2 linked regions of the Saccharomyces cerevisiae S288C genome follow. The protein of the gene in region 2 interacts with the protein of the main gene of each other region in a biochemical or structural test. Each region holds a gene or a part of one and is shown on either strand. Other genes may lie near its edges.

The links.
Region 1: the proteins of TIF4631 (region 2) and PRP11 form a complex in vitro, tested with the Saccharomyces cerevisiae proteins (one study listed by BioGRID).

Annotation. Positions count from the first base shown.
Region 1 is NC_001136.10:375,123-378,523, forward strand, and holds PRP11 (spliceosome assembly protein PRP11), read right to left. Parts: upstream 1,359-3,401; coding exon 558-1,358; downstream 1-557. Other genes in the region: MTF2 (Mtf2p), read right to left, coding at 1-167; NAD-dependent histone deacetylase SIR2, read right to left, coding at 1,635-3,323. UniProt on the Saccharomyces cerevisiae protein: mRNA splicing factors, PRP9, PRP11, and PRP21, are necessary for addition of the U2 snRNP to the pre-mRNA in an early step of spliceosome assembly.
Region 2 is NC_001139.9:822,160-827,417, reverse strand, and holds TIF4631 (translation initiation factor eIF4G), read right to left. Parts: upstream 3,360-5,258; coding exon 501-3,359; downstream 1-500. Other genes in the region: YGR161C-C (gag protein), read left to right, coding at 4,403-5,258. UniProt on the Saccharomyces cerevisiae protein: Component of the eIF4F complex, which interacts with the mRNA cap structure and serves as an initial point of assembly for the translation apparatus.

The sequences.
Region 1 (3,401 bases), on a different chromosome or scaffold from region 2:
ACCTTACGTTCCTCTTCGAGAGCTTGTTCAAATGTCTTTTCATTTGAAACTCTTTCTACGTTGTGAGTTTTTCTATCTTTCAAATTGGCTTCATTCAGCAAGCATCTATGGATGCAATGTATGTATCTATAGTTACAGTTTTTTAATATAGATGATGTTCTGATCATTGTATGGCGTGTTGTACTCTTCCTTAGTTCCCTCTTCTTCCTTTACAATTATCTCTCAAGTATAGCAAGCGTTGTCACATCACAGTTTTCGGCCTTGTTCGCCTAATTACATTTTTCTGAATAAATACGTATGTATGCTGCGAGTACTAGATACTGTTGATAAATGGTAACATAAATACTCTAGATCGCAAAAGCGCATGGAAGTTGAGCAGTAATATAATTTTAGAGGAATATGGTTATTATACTCCCTGAGAATAAGTGCACATTGGATGGGAAAATTTCGTAAAAAAAACTCTTGTAAAGACAATTGTTTCCTTAATAGCTATTATATAATCCAATTTGGTTAGAGTTTTGTATGCCGATTATTAACGTTACCCAAAAATAATACTGTCATACATCGGCTTGTTCTTGTTCGGCTTGTTTAAAGAAAAATTGAACGTAATAAAGTTTTGATATAGCATCCCAAAATGTACACTTTTTATTTAATTCATCTACTCCATCGTTATTATTGTCCATGTCATTGTTTTCGCTGAATAATATTTCGTTTGGAGGTAGCTCAATAGCAATATTTTCAAAGGGTTCATACGCAATAACGAGAAATTTTTTTCCCTTCTGTTTGGTATCTGATAGCTCTAAACCAGATACAATCCTAATGAGAGGAGGGACTTTAGCCTTATCATCGCTATCGACACTATTTTCTTTGACTTCACTGCTATAATTTACCTGGATAGCCAAACCTACTGAACCGTTCTTCGGGTTTTTCACGGTAGCTATTTTACAAACAGGGATCGTACCGTTATTCTTTAAAGATTGCTTAGCTTCAATTATCTTTTGTTGTTGTCGGAAATCATGAGTTGTTTGGCCTTCTCTCCCTAGAGAACTTTTCTCTATACTGATACCACGCCTTAACACATTTAAACCATGTTTTTTACCACCCAAATGCCTTTCAACGCTGGACCACGACATGTGCATTGTATTACATAGTTTACAAACCAGTTTACCGGAATGATTCTTGTAAATGTACGGATTGGACCTTACTTGATCGTCCTTTTCATCTTGGAAAGTGTACGGGACATTTTCGCCTTTACTAAGTAATGATTCGACTTCTTTCCTTCGTTGTAAGTTAAACTGAGATTCTGAGGCTATACCACCACCTCCTTTCTTTGACCCAACGCCTTCTAAATAGTTCATTTTGAATGTATGGATGCGTTAAATGATTTGAATTTGCTGTTCCACCTGCCCTTCTTACATTAAGCTATTTGTGAGAGCCTTGCGTCTTTAGCAGATTTTTTTTTTTCATTTTTTTAGTGAGATGGGCGGTACATGTAATATTTCACCCGGTACAATGAAAATAGCAGAATGTAAATAATATTTGACTACAATAATTGAAAGGAAAACAAAATTGTTTGCCATACTATGTAAATTGATATTAATTTGGCACTTTTAAATTATTAAATTGCCTTCTACTTAGAGGGTTTTGGGATGTTCATCTGATGTAACGACATACACGCCCTTATCCTTCTCTTGGCATTTAAAGTTCTTGTTCTTCAAATCGTTCCATTTCTTATGCGGAATCGTCCAGCCACATTTTTGGGCTACCATAGCTGCAATGTCATCACAGTACCCCAAAAGAGATAAATCAAATTCTGCGTGCTTGACGGGATCACGATTAATCAGGACTTGGGGAACGTGGGAAGGAACCATGTTTACGATTTCAGACACTGGCGCTACTTTTAAACTTGTCCCAATGCAAATCAACAAATCACATTCTAAGATATCTTCGCGAATGCTCTTATGAAATTTATTTGGCAGTGCTTCGCCAAAGAATGTGATATCTGGTTTGAGAACGCCATATGAGTTAAGGATATATGGAGGCCTTTCCGACATTGAACCCTGTGATGCAGCAACACCTACTTTATTATTATATCCCTCTGGGAAATATTCTCTTCTTTTTTTGTAACAGTACGGGCATAGTGGAAGTTCGAGGTTTCTAATTTTATTAAATATCCTCTCACCGGGTAGGTTCCAATGGCAGGTAACGCAGGTGGCAGTAGCAAAAGAGCCATGGCACTGCACCAGTTTATCTGTGCTTATTCCCGCATAAGATTCCAAATTATCAATGTTTTGAGTATAATTTCTCAATAATTTCCCTTTCATTTGTAGCATCTTAATGAAACTATGCAATGGAGAATAAATTTTTTCTGGAGGTAAAACCATATTGGCAATATTATAGAAAACAGAGGGGTCGTGCATAAATATATTGTAATTGAAAACGTCTTGGGGATCATCGAGCCCCAAATGTTTGATCTTTGAATAGAACCCCTCAGAAGATCTGAAGTCCGGGATCCCTAATGAAGTTGAAACACCTGCACCAGTCAGGACCAAAATTTTTCTAGCGGTATGTAATTTTTGAATAAAATGATCAATAGTGAAAAAATTGGATAATCTTAATCTTGTACATAGAACTTTGTTAATTGCTCTTTGCAAATCTTTGATTAGACGAACTGTTTGCTTTTTTGCCAATGGGTCTTCAACATTTGTGACAGATATTGCACTTCCCAAATCTTGAACACGCTCTTGCGAGTTGATATGGACAATACTGTTGATGGTGCCGATAAGCGCTTGATCTTTAACTTCAAAGCCTAGCAACTTGATAAGATAGTAAATGTATAACGAGTTCAAATCCTCGGGGAGGTAAGTGTCTAAAAATTTGTGTGCACCATAGTATTTCAGAAACATTCGAGCATTGAGAGACTCTCGTTTAGTGAAGGAGGGACCATAGAAAATACCATTTGATGGGTTTTTACTGATTATGATTGGCCCCTTGGGCGTCTCTGGTTTCAAAACGTCATTGGACATTGACACTACTGAAGCTGCTGACACTGCCAAGGGATCCATGTCATTAGTTGGTTTGAGCTCCATCGATGCCACTTCTCCGAGCGCAGCTTTAGTGTGCCCAAGTGGATCTGTTGTGTTGGTTTCCCTCAAGGAATCCGGCTGTGCTACTTTTATCTTCTTATGTGAAGGTTCATCATTATTTATAATGTCATCGGGTTGTTTTCTGATCGCGTCTTTATCTTGTGTGGGGCTTACTGTATTTGAAACCTTATTTTCGCTAGTCTTTGATACGGCGTATTTCATATGTGGGATGGTCATCCAGCTTTAATGTGCCGATGAGGGAAAAATGGTTTGAATGTGTCTACCGAAGCGATGCCTAATTTCTTGAAATACGTG
Region 2 (5,258 bases):
CGGTCCTTTCCTTTCGTGGCCTCTGTAAAAAAAAGGACAAATGGTGAAGCAGTAGCATGATTAAATCGAAATATGAAGTTAAAGCCGTCAGCTAATAAATGATATAAATATACAAAACTATACATATGCTGAGTGGTCTATTATATAAAACATATCGTAAACGAAGACTGGCGAAGCTATAAATAAAAATACAGAAAGGCATTGACATATAGAACAAGATAGGAAAAAAAAGCACAGTAAGAGGATTACCCATTAAAATGCATCAAACTTGTTTATAGCTTTTAGTGAAAAGAAATGAGCCCATTAATCGAGAAAATATAACAATGGTAAATTAGGGACACTTTTTTTTTCTTCTCCATGCATATATTTTCAATTAATAGCGCAGGATTAAACGTAAGATTAAATTTGTGTTGTACTATTAATTTATTATTTTATTAGACTTTCTACCAACATCCTTGTATCCAAGTGACATTTTCGATACTTAACATGATCTATTCATGTTACTCTTCGTCATCACTTTCTCCCATTAATGCACTGAACATATTTGTTGCGGTAGAAGTTGGTGCAGCTGGTTCTTCCTTTGGAGGAGGAGCCCTTTGGCTATTTCTTTGAGAATATGTTCTGGTTGTGATAAAGCTATCTTTTGATGCAGGAGGAGCGTCCCTTCTGAAAGAGTGTCTATTACTGGAGTTGTTCGTACGTCTTGAATTAGATCTTGAATTATTCTTCAATTGACGTTGTCTCTCCTCTTCCTCATGAATCTGTTGAATGGTCTTAGGACCGTTGTCCTTCTTATCACTGTTCCAGTTCTTGTCGTGCCTTAATTCTTTAATGTCGATCAACTTGAACTTGATTCTACTAGAAATCTTAGCAGTTTGAATAATATTGTCTAAAATACCGAACAAACTATCGAGCAATTGCGAACCCTCCAATGTTGCTTGACCCGTTCTGAAACTATCGGTCTCAAATTGTTCACCAACAGTATTTAACAATTCAACAACGGACTCTAGAGTTTCTTCAGATGGAGAATCCGTCAAATCCTTCATTAGTCTACGGAAACATTCGAACATCATCTTTCCAGTCAACAGATTCAGACGGTATAGGAAACCGATGAAACGAACCAAACCTAAACCTCTTCTCTTAGCAGAAGCAGCTGCATAGTACTCTTCTGACATCATCTCAGGTTCTAATGGAGTACCATCTTCGTTTGTGGGTAATTTATCGGTCCAACCCTTGTCAAATTCGGCATGACATCTAGCAACCAAGTAATGCAAAACCAATTTTGGACCTGTCTTACCTTCATTAGTTTCATCTGTTATATCTGGGTTTAATTCTTTAACTACTTTACCACATAATTGCGCGTACATAGAAGACCAATGGGGTTCGTCACAGGCCTTTAAGAAAATCTGTTCTATCACAGCCTTTAACGTTTCACCATTTGTTTCCCATACTGATATGTTTGCAATAGCCAAAATTTCAGATGAAATAGCATCGAACATTTCCAAAGTAAGTTTATTCAGTAGTGACTTCATCTTTCTTTCAACTTCATCCTTGTCCAATAGTTCGGTCTTTCCGTCAGGGGCTAGCTTCTTTTCAGTCTTTTTAGACTTGAATTTTGGCACCCACCTATTAGCACTTGGAACAAGTGGAGCAACTTCTTCCTTTGGTTTATCGTCCTCTCTTTTCTCTTCATTTCTGTAGGAGCCTCTCTCGCGGTCTCTTCTTGATGTATAAGATCTATTAGATCTCCTGTCGTCATTCATTCTCTTTGATCTTCTCTTTGATGAAGTTCTTGAATTAGCTCTGTCATCCATATTTCTCACTGAGGTATTTCTAAAGTCATGGCCACGACTAGAATTATTGCCGAATCTGCCAGAATCTCTAGATCTATTTCCTCTGCCCATTCCTGGTGGAATGACAATTTTAGAAGCAGTGCTTTGGACCCATTCGGCGTCCGCTTTGACGTTTAGTTTGTCCTTAAATTGAAGCAAGAAAGTTGGGCCATATGTATATTTGACGTGTTCTTTCTTGTATTTGATATCAGGACCTTCAATACCTTCTGGATAGTTAAAAGAAAAGACATCTTCAATTGGTGTAGCATCTTTCAATACATTCAATATGTGAGAAACGGTGTTTGTACCATCATCAGTTTCATCAGTTGTAGTTTCGATTTCAGCTTCAAGTCCAATCTTTGTTCCAGCATCACCTGCTTCAGCCTCAACTTCAGCTTCAGCTTCATCAGATTTAGTAGGGATAGCCGGAGTTGTTGCAGATTCATCAATGTTTGACTGTTCGGTTTCGGCGACCTCAGTTTCTTCTTTAACCTGTTCACTGGGAGGCACAGGAGCAGACTCGATGGCGCTCTTAGTCTCTTCCTGTACTGGCACTTCCTTGTTTTCCTTCCCCTCCGTTTTTTCTTCTCGTTCTTTTTGTTGTTTCTTCAACTTCAAACGTTCAGCAAAGGTTAACACCTTTGGAGTGGATTCTTCCTTTATTTGGCCCTTTTCTCCTTGTTCACCTTCTTCAGCTGGAGTTTCTTGCTTAACTTCTGGCTCAGCAGATTTTTCTTCAGCAGGCTTGGTTTTTTCGGTTACCTCAGGTTTGTCCGATCCCTTCTCTTCCACATTTTCTGGGGTAGTCTTCATTGGAATATTATTGTTGCCACTAGAACCTTCAAGTTGCTCCTTTCTCTTCTTTTCTAAAGCAGCTTTACGAAGTTTAACTTGCTCGATGAAATTTCTTCTTGTCTTTTCAGCTTCAGATATATTTTCTTCAGAACTGGCCTTAGAGTCATTAGTGGAAGGGGTAGGAGTTGGAGTAGAAGTAGAAGTAGAATCAGAAGTTTCTTTTAACTTTGACTCTGGTTGCGGAGACACAGTAGATCTTTCCTGAGACTGTAGCTTGGCTTTATGCTGTTCTTTCAAATCTAAGTGTTCACCAGACTTGGTAGTGATTTCTATCTTAGTTGGAACAGGTGACTTCTCTTCGACAGGAATTGGATTAGCAGGGGCACTACCAGCGGCCGCCATTTGCTGGGGCTGGTAGTAAACGGGGTAGTTATTATAGTAACCAGTCCATGGCACGTTTGAGCTGTTGGCTCCCATGTGTCCACCTCTGAAACTACCGCCACCATTATAGTTGCCACGGTTGTTATATCTGTTTGGTCCAAATTTACCACCTCTTTGCTGATGAGGTCTGTTGCTGTTGTAAGGCTTCTTTTGGGTATAGTTGCTACCATTGTTGTAGTTGGTGTAGCCACGTTGTTGCTGAGATTCCTGCTGGTCATCGCCTGTCTGTTTCAGAGCAGCAGATTCCTGCTTTGAAGCAGATTGTGTCGGGTGAGCAGTTTCGTCTGTCATTATTGTAATAGGTAATTACAGTTGTCCTCTTACCTTGCTTATTTATGAGCAAGAAGGAGTAAAGTAAGAAGCTTTAAGAAATTGAAGGGAAGAGGAAGAATCATAATTAAGTAAATTATCACAATATCAAGATTGGTAAAATTTCAAGCAACATATTGAAATTCCATCTACCATCCATCCGTTGCACACAGAGAACGCGGCATCGAAAATTTTTCTTGAAAAAAAAACTTTTGTCAGTGAAACAGTACGAGAAAAAAAAAAAATAAAAAAAAAGCTATAATTGAAAAAGGACGCACAAAAATACGGTGAAAAAGAAAAAAAAAATCGTTTCTCACGTCGTTATCGAGTCGCGATGAGGATAGCGCCCATCATATGATCATCCCATTACGATGGAAGTCTGCCATCATGATGTCCAAGAGGGTCCTTAAAGCTATTAGTAAGTAAAAAAAAACTGTTGTTCCAGAGATATTGAAAAAAGCCTTATTAATGTAATCTTCAAAAAATGATTTCGCCCAGGATCGAACTGGGGACGTTCTGCGTGTTAAGCAGATGCCATAACCGACTAGACCACGAAACCACTCTTATTGGAAGATTGATCCAATTAAAGGGGAATAGGTCACATGAAACGACGACAACTATGCTGGTTATTACCTAGAGGGATAATTGCAAGCTAGATCTTGAAACGAACAGAGGAAAAAAGCTAAAGTAGTAACAACAACCAATATATGTATATATGAAGAGAATGTGGATTTTGTTGGAATAAAAATCCACTATCGTCTATCAACTAATAGTTATATTATCAATATATTATCATATACGGTGTTAAGATGATGACATAAGTTATGAGAAGCTGTCATCGAAGTTAGAGGAAGCTGAAGTGCAAGGATTGATAATGTAATAGGATAATGAAACATATAAAACGGAATGAGGAATAATCGTAATATTAGTATGTAGAAATATAGATTCCATTTTGAGGATTCCTATATCCTCGAGGAGAACTTCTAGTATATTCTGTATACCTAATATTATAGCCTTTATCAACAATGGAATCCCAACAATTATCTAATTACCCACATATATCTCATGGTAGCGCCTGTGCTTCGGTTACTTCTAAGGAAGTCCACACAAATCAAGATCCGTTAGACGTTTCAGCTTCCAAAATTCAAGAATATGATAAGGCTTCCACTAAGGCTAACTCTCAACAGACAACAACACCTGCTTCATCAGCTGTTCCAGAGAACCCCCATCATGCCTCTCCTCAACCTGCTTCAGTACCACCTCCACAGAATGGGCCGTACCCACAGCAGTGCATGATGACCCAAAACCAAGCCAATCCATCTGGTTGGTCATTTTACGGACACCCATCTATGATTCCGTATACACCTTATCAAATGTCGCCTATGTACTTTCCACCTGGGCCACAATCACAGTTTCCGCAGTATCCATCATCAGTTGGAACGCCTCTGAGCACTCCATCACCTGAGTCAGGTAATACATTTACTGATTCATCCTCAGCGGACTCTGATATGACATCCACTAAAAAATATGTCAGACCACCACCAATGTTAACCTCACCTAATGACTTTCCAAATTGGGTTAAAACATACATCAAATTTTTACAAAACTCGAATCTCGGTGGTATTATTCCGACAGTAAACGGAAAACCCGTACGTCAGATCACTGATGATGAACTCACCTTCTTGTATAACACTTTTCAAATATTTGCTCCCTCTCAATTCCTACCTACCTGGGTCAAAGACATCCTATCCGTTGATTATACGGATATCATGAAAATTCTTTCCAAAAGTATTGAAAAAATGCAATCTGATACCCAAGAGGCAAACGACATTGTGACCCTGGCAAATTTGCAATATAATGGCAGTACACCTGCAGATGCAT